Linked DNA regions of Coturnix japonica. The protein of the gene in region 1 purifies or fractionates together with the protein of each later gene. This does not show direct contact. Links are inferred from orthologs where the notes say so. Each region holds a gene or a part of one and is shown on either strand. Other genes may lie near its edges.

Region 1 (3,147 bases):
TGGTGATTAATTAGGTGGACAATTTGACAGAAACAATGAGATTACATCACCATAAGGGCTTTCTGCCCACCCTGTGGCATGCCATTTTGTCTGAATTTATGTTTATTTATTAACCACTCCATTACGATGTGGGAGGCATTGAGCCTGGCATTGAGGCACCCTGAAATGCTTTGGTGCAGGATGAGACCGGTTTAACTTCAGGAAGCTGGATGTGTGTCCTGTTGTTGGTGGTTATTGCTGCAGATGCCTTTCCCCACTGATGGCTATGTCCCTCTCTTCTCAGGAGTGTCCTGGGCAGGCAGACCTGCCTGGAGTGCAGCTTTGAGATCCCTGACTTCCCAAACCACTTCCCCACCTACGTCCACTGCTCGCTGTGCCGCTACAGCACGTGCTGCTCCCGAGCGTACGCCAACCACATGATCAAGTAGGTGTGATGGCACAGAAATCCCTCCTGGCTGAATGTGGTAGTGTCCCACAAAGGGGGTTCCACAAAATTCCAGTCCATTGCCTGTTCTGTAAGGTGTGCGTTCTCTGTCAGCACGGATGTGGGCGATGGCTTTGGGATAAGATGGGAAAATGAGTGCAAAAGCTGAAGGATTCGTTCCCCACACAGTACTATGGCTATCAGCCTGTGTACTGCAAGCTCACTGTTCCAGGCTTCTAGGATTTCTTGCTAAAGTCTTGTATTCACATTAAAAATACAATTTAAAAGTAAATGAAAAGAAGGTTATGCCATGGTTCTATAAACCTGCGCAGGACCTTTGTTAGACCCCAGATCAGGAGTTTTGTTTCTTTAAATAAAAGACAAAATAGGATGATTGAAACCAGGGTTGGGTCTGTCTTTGTAAACATGCCAGGTTTCACACAGTTTTATATAGCCCTTCAGATACCTGGAATAATTCTGATGTTTCATTAACTCTTTTGTCATACAGCAACCACGTTCCCAGGAAGAGTCCCAAATACTTGGCTTTGTTCAAGAACTACACTGCCTGGTAAGGGAAGACTTGTCATCTCACTTCAGTCACCCGGGGATTTGGTGTGCATTCATTTCCTGATCTGTTGTGTTCTTTACTTTCACGTCTGCTTAAGAAGCACTGCTTAATATTTGCAATGCAGTAACATAGGTCAAGTGAAGGCAACCACCCCTGCCTTCCAGATGGAGGACAGTACATTAGGGAGGGGACACTGCAGCGCTGAGAGGGATGTTTTGTCCCTGGTATGGGCATACATCTCTTCTAATAGCAAATGCTGATACGAAGTTCACTTTCTTCTTGTACAGTGGCGTGAAACTGTGCTGCTCCTCCTGCCTCTTTGCATCATCAGAGGGTGATGTGATGGCCAAGCATTTGGTCTTCAACCCATCACACGAGTTCAGCAACATTGTTTTCCGAGGTAGGAGTTTGGAAAAGGAGCAGAAAAGTTGAAATAATGAATGAAAGACATAACCTGTGAGTTCCTAGAGCCCAGCTCAAACACCGGTGTGGCCAAGCACTCACTGACTGCTGAGCTTCAATAAAATGCAGCTTGGGGACCTTCTGTAGTTGCTGAATGTGTCACAATTGTTATGGAGATGAGAGCTAAGCCTCCAGTGAGGCTGTCAGCTTGAGCTCAGCTGCGCAGCTTAGATCTCAGGAGATATTCCCAGGAAAGAACAATACGGAGGGCTTCAGCGAGCTGCTCTGTTCCTCTGAGACATCATTGTACCTCTGTGACACGGAGAGGCCTGGAGCAGCTGCTGATGTTGGGCTTTGAATGGGGCCTGGAGCTGCTGTTCCAGCAATCGTACCCATAAGTGCAATTTGCAAAACTGAAGGTCATTGCCTGCAGCAATCTGGCTGAAGTTGAGCTTTCCAAACCAAACTCCTGGTGTTATTTCTGATGGATTTTGGTTTTGGTGGGTTCTGATGCTGCTCTGCACTACTGGGCAGATCTCATTGGTTTGGATATGGGTGCAAGACCTCTCAAGGAAGGGAGGGGGTCAAATGAGCATCTGGTTCTTGCAGCAGATAGAGATGCCTGAGCCTTATCTCTGCAAAAGCACAGTGTATTTGCACTGACTTGTTGCTTGTTTGCAAAGCCACAACTGTCTTTGTCTTTTTCTCGCAGGGCCTACTTGGATATCACATTCCAGGTAAACTCTTTGTGAACTCTCCTATCATCTGTTGCAGTCTGGAGGTTGGTTGCTTGTTTTCCCTCCTGTGGTTTTATTTCCTTGGTTTTAAGAAGGCACTGTGTTCTCTCCCTTCAAGGCACATTCAGCCCCAGGACAGAAGCATGAAGAACACGTGCCCTGCCTATTCCCCCAGTAAAGCTGCTACTGTGAAAACTAAGTCTGTGTTACCCGCGAAGGACGACCTGGAGCCTGAAGTGGCACTGGCAGCCCACACCCAGCCCCTGCTTTGCCAGGAGGAAGAGTGCTTAAATATCGATGCTCAGGAAGACGAGCAGCCAATGAAGGAGACCGAACCTGCGAGCAAAAAGGAGCAGCTGTCGGTGAAGAAGCTGCGGGTGGTTCTGTTTGCATTGTGCTACAGCACTGAGCAGGCGGCCGAGCACTTCAGGAACCCACAGCGGCGCATCAAGCGTTGGCTCCGGAGGTTCCAGGCTTTCCAAGAGGAGAACTTGGCGTCGCTGTCGGAGGGCAAATACCTGAGCTTGGAGGCCGAGGAGAAGCTGGCAGAGTGGGTGCTCACCCAGAGGGAGCAGCAGCTGCCCGTCAATGAGGAGACGCTCTTCCAGAAGGCCACCAAACTTGGCCGCTCCCTGGAGGGCGGCTTCAAGATCTCCTACGAATGGGCCGTGCGGTTCATGCTGCGGCACAACCTCAGCATGCACACGCGGAGGGCAGTGGCCCACTCGCTCCCCAAAGAGGTGGAGGACAACGCTGGCTGCTTCATCGAGTTTGTGCAGAGGCAGATCCACACGCAGGACCTGCCCCTCTCCATGATCGCAGCCATCGACGAGATTTCCCTCTTCCTTGACGTGGAGGTGCTGAGCAGTGACGACAAGAAGGAGAACGCTCTGCAGACGGTGGGGACTGGTGAGCCCTGGTGCGACGTGGTCCTCACCATCCTTGCTGACGGGAGCGTTCTTCCCACGTTGGTCTTCTACAGAGGTCACGTCCAGCAGCCCGCCAACGTGCCTGAA
Region 2 (4,722 bases), on another chromosome or scaffold:
AAGTGTGAATCTCAGGATGAAGATCAAGCATGCGGTGACAAACCAGTTTCCACTGAACACACCAGACACAACAAACTGTGGGAGTTTATTTCAGACCTGCTGAAGACCCCTAAGATTAAAAAAGAGCTGCTATCTGCCCAAGTACAAATAACTGCTGTGCAGTTTTTCTAAGCACTCTTGTCAGGTCCCAACCCACAGGTGCAGGACACACCACACTACACTGATTGGAGCTGAGGCTTCTCACCACTCTGCAACTACACAGTGCTCTGGATTCCTTAATTGCTATTTCTGCATCCCCTCCTGCTTTCCTCACTTTGCACGACTGTGACACACAAACCACAAATACAGATATAACCAAACAGAACCAATTAATTCAGTAAGAATACATTACAAGTGAAGGAGAAGCTTGAAGCCCTGCACTTACACTTGCCCTGTCCACACAACCTGCTTCTACTCAAGACAAAGCACTGACAAGAAAAGAAGCAAAGAAGCCTCCACTAAGATTCTGGAGTTTGTAATACTAAACTTTAACCAAGGGCAGACAAAGCTTCTTCAGATTTTTCCAAGACGTTAAGATTTCAATCTGAACAGCAAAGTGCTCCCGTCCACAAGCATCAAGCACAGTAACAGTGCTGGTGCCAGCTCAGCTCTTAGCTCGACCACAGCTTTTTGCTGGCCTATAAGGGACACAGATCAACACCCAGGACTCAAGTGAAAATCTGATGAAGGGACTCAGCTTGTGTTGAGCTGAGCAACAGGAACAGCCCAAACCCAGCAGGACTTACGGCCACTCCAGACCTAGTTCCAGGATTCAGCATCTCATTGCTTGTCACAATCCCAGTGCAGGATTAGCCATTCATCCCAACACCTCTCACAAACCTCCCAGTGGCATAAAAGAAATCTGCAGGAGACATTGTGCGCCACCAAAAATAGGCCCACAGTGTTAGGCACAACACAGTGACTCTGGCAACTAACAAAATGTCTCCATTTCTCAATCTCATTTCAATCCCATAGTTACAGGTTCTTTTTAACATGATGTGCAGAATTTCAGAATATGGCAACATGCAGACTGATGTATCATCCTTCAAAACCAGTCCATCCTGGTTCTCACTGACAAAAGGAGCTATACTTCTCTCCCTCTTGATAAAGAATTGATCATAATGAGAGACAAGCAGAGAATGAGGATGTGCAAAGCACATCAGGGGCGCCAGTGCAGCTTTGAAAAGGAAGTTATACATTTTATACGATACCCTGTATTTGCATTGTTTTCTCCAGATCCAGCGGGACCTAAAAATAGTGCTGCCATCCACACCATCCTGAAAAATGAGCAACAAACTAGTGTGAAGCAATGGTTTCCAGCATCCTCCCACACAAGCGTGCAACACGATTCTATCAGTTCATCAAGCAAATGATGAAGTAAGCCCATACTCCTAGAAATGTCTTCCTCAGATAATCCTCTCACTTGTACAGGGTGCCACTCATCACAGCTCTGCTCTGACAAGCCCTGTCCACTGCACAAGAAAGATGGCTGTTCACTTCCATTGGTGGAAGCTCAGGCAAAGACTTCAGCCACATTCTCTGTCAATGGAGATGGTTGACTGTAAAGTTAGTACCCAGCACCAGACACCAGGATACAGCTGCACCATGGCTTCTACCAGCAGGACCAGATCAGACTGCAGCTGTATTTAGGCAAAAGGGAAAGTGACACACTCCTGCAGTGCCAAGAAGTAGACAGGAGCACTCTTGTGGCAACACCCTGCTTCTCCTAAACCTGTGCAATGGCTGACAAGAAACAGAAGCTCAGATCCCACAGGCAGCGATGAAGCGGAGCAGGTGCTTCCCAATGTACACAGAGGAGATGTGAGGGTTGGCTCCAGCACACAGGGAACAAGAGGCAGCACCATGCTCTTGCTACCCCACAGAGCCCACAGAAACCTGACTACTCACAGCCACGCTGCCAACACCAGCAATCACATTTGTGCAGTGTTCCATCAGCAGTGATTGCTGGGTCCAGCTTTAAAACTGCACTAGGAGAGGAGGCTCCGACACCCTGACTTTGCCAGCCACCAACACTGAGAGATGTGCTGGGAGAGCATGCACTTGGTCCAGCAAGGGGGCTCTTGCACGATGAAGTCCCAGGTTCAGCTCAGAGGAAAACTGAACAGTGTCATCAGTGCTTGATGCTGAAGGCTTTGAGAACATGAAGGATGCAGCACTTCACCTACCTCATGGGCCTTCTGTCTTTGCTAGGACAAGTCTGCAGAGCAACGTGAGTTCCTAGTACAAGAACGAGGGGCAACCTAAAGTACTAAGTATCTGACATACCTACATCAAGATTAAGGATAAGAAATTACCGTTTCATATCATTCAGACAGGGCAGTGTAACTCCGTATTAGCAATAATGCGCTGTTAGCTTCCAAAACTGACCTCAAAACAACGTACTTCTGCAGAGCTGAGCTGGTGAAGCGGCACGGGACCAAGGAGCACACACAGGCACGCTGTACCATACCCTTCCCGCGGTGACCTCGAGCTACGAACTCCACCTGCATTACACCGAGACAAAATTCGACGTGAGGACGGCTGAGGGAAGGGAAGAACGAAGTCGGAATCTCCACCTCCCTGCCACAAATCGCACAGCTCGGCCCCAGCTCCGGCTCCCGGCAGTGCCGACTTACAGCCCCGGTGCGGCGGACCCTCCCTCCCCGCGGGGCCCGGCTCGGCACGAGGCCGGCTCCGATCGCCCCGAACGGCTGCGGGGTTCCAGTGGGGGCGAGGCCGGGAGGCGTCGCCTGCGGGGGCCCGGCACATCGCCGCCTCCCGGCCTCGCCCGCACTCGAACCCCGCAGCCCCCCGCCCTGCGGCCCCGAGGCGGCCCCGACCGAGGGGAAGGCCCCGGCCCGCCGCCCGGGGCGGAGAGGAGCCCGCTCGGCGCCTGAGGGCGGCGGGAAGGGCCTCCCCGCTCTCACCGCACTCACCGCCGAGGCACCTCCAGCGGCCGGGCGCAACACAGGACACACGGCGGCGGGCCGGGCCGGGCCGGCTTCGCTAGCGGGCTCGGGCCGTGCGAGGGGCGGGGAGGAGGAGGAGAAGGAGGGGGCGGGGGGACGGGGGGGCGCCGTGAGGAGGCGCGCAGCCGAATGGCGGCCGCCTCACCGCCCCCCCGGGCCCGCCCGCCGCCCAACAGGAAGCGCCGGCGCCGCGCTCAGTCCCGCCCCTCGCGGCCTCCCGCCTTCTCGGTCAGGTGGTGCTGCCGTAAGGCGGAGCGGCGGCGGGAGGCGGGAGCATCCTGTCAGCTATGGGACGTCGTGCGGGGTTGATGTGGGCTACGCCTTCCAAGAGCTAAATTACAATTAAATTAAATTACAGATCTAACCTGCATCAAGCAATGAACCTCTTGTTTGCGGTGACACCTGCACAGAATGGGCTTAATTCACACGAACCACGCCCCCTTTGTCAGTTCAGTGCCCTGCTTCAAACCAGCAGGAGGATGGTCTCATGGCTGTGCTGGGTTACCTGCTCTGCCCTAATGTGCTCTGCTGGCCTCTATAGTGCTCACATGAGCCCTTCTGTGTCTAACCTGCGTTGGTGGTGGGGTTGCTAAAGCAGCGCTAAGTGAAGCTGTCTTTCTTGGGCCAGTAAAAGCTTTGGGTCAGGAAACACTCCTTTAAGCACTGCAACAGGCTCCTCAGGGAGGTGGTTGAGTCACCATCCCTGGATGTGCTTAAAATCCCTTTGGATGTGGTGCTCGGAGACACAGTGGAGCAGAGAGCTGTTAGTTAGGGTACTATGGGTAGGCTGTGGTTGGACTCCATAATCTTTAAGGTCTTTTCCAACCTGAGCAGCTCTATGATTCCATGATTGTAAATATTTCATAGAATCACAAGGTTGGAAATGACCTACACAACCATCTAGTCCAGCTGTCCTGGTCTCATAGTTTCGTACCGATCTCTTAAAAACATCTTTAAAATGTTTGGTGTTGCTGTCTATAGGTTAGGAGGAATGAGCATCGTGGTGTCCTCACTGCAGGAGACACATGAGCTCTGCTGTCGGTCTCCTCACCCAGCAAAGGTCTCCAAAAACTGCTTCTGCTTTCACTTTCAGATAGAATCCGCATACAAACCTCAGCAGTGCTGAAACATTAGCCCAAGCCTGTATTGTTTTGTGAAGGGCTGGTGGTTGTCTCCATGATCTGTCGTAACATCAGGTGGCATTTAGCAGTGATCCGTCACAGCTCAGAGCCCACACAGAGGCAGTGTGTTTGGCAGCACTTGTGGCTAAAAGTCCATACTACCTCTGTGTAGGTATCAAGGGAACAGGTTGGCACCACAGTAAGAAATAGGACAACAGAAAGTGAGTGAGGCTATCAGGGTGGTGACGATTTGTGTTGAAGAGACAGCGCTATATTGTAAAAACAAGGAAGCAGATGGAACCAAAATCAGCTGTGATGTAACTAGATACAATTCCCTTTTTTCTCAGGGAAGCTGGATCTACTTTCAGCAGAGCTGAATTTGCAAAACAAAGTTGCTATTGTGGAAATAAAGCTCTCACGCCACAGTGACTGTGTACAAAGACAGGCTGCAAGCCTGCATTTATTTTGTGTCATCAGGAGGCGCGTAGGAAAAAGAGCAAGCACTGAGCAGGTGGCAGCTCCTCCCACCCGGCTTCCCCTGTGAATATCAATGTTCTGGATACCCTGTGTGTGCAGATGTGTAAACCCAAGGC

What was found. Proteins that work in one complex are often made in the same cells at the same time.
Region 2: the proteins of POGZ (region 1) and CHAMP1 purify together in Homo sapiens (affinity purification with mass spectrometry; 4 studies listed by BioGRID and IntAct, with this or other methods). This does not show direct contact. The link is inferred for Coturnix japonica from reciprocal best matches to the Homo sapiens genes POGZ and CHAMP1.

What each region holds. Positions count from the first base shown.
Region 1 is NC_029540.1:2,371,199-2,374,345, forward strand, and holds part of POGZ (pogo transposable element with ZNF domain), read left to right. Parts: intron 1-283; coding exon 284-424; intron 425-932; coding exon 933-992; intron 993-1,279; coding exon 1,280-1,392; intron 1,393-2,106; coding exon 2,107-2,131; intron 2,132-2,249; coding exon 2,250-3,147. UniProt on the Homo sapiens protein: Plays a role in mitotic cell cycle progression and is involved in kinetochore assembly and mitotic sister chromatid cohesion.
Region 2 is NC_029516.1:123,375,239-123,379,960, forward strand, and holds the start of CHAMP1 (chromosome alignment-maintaining phosphoprotein 1), read right to left. Parts: upstream 3,154-4,722; 5' UTR 2,976-3,153; intron 2,544-2,975; 5' UTR 2,443-2,543; exon of another isoform or gene 2,428-2,442; intron 1-2,427. UniProt on the Homo sapiens protein: Required for proper alignment of chromosomes at metaphase and their accurate segregation during mitosis. Involved in the maintenance of spindle microtubules attachment to the kinetochore during sister chromatid biorientation.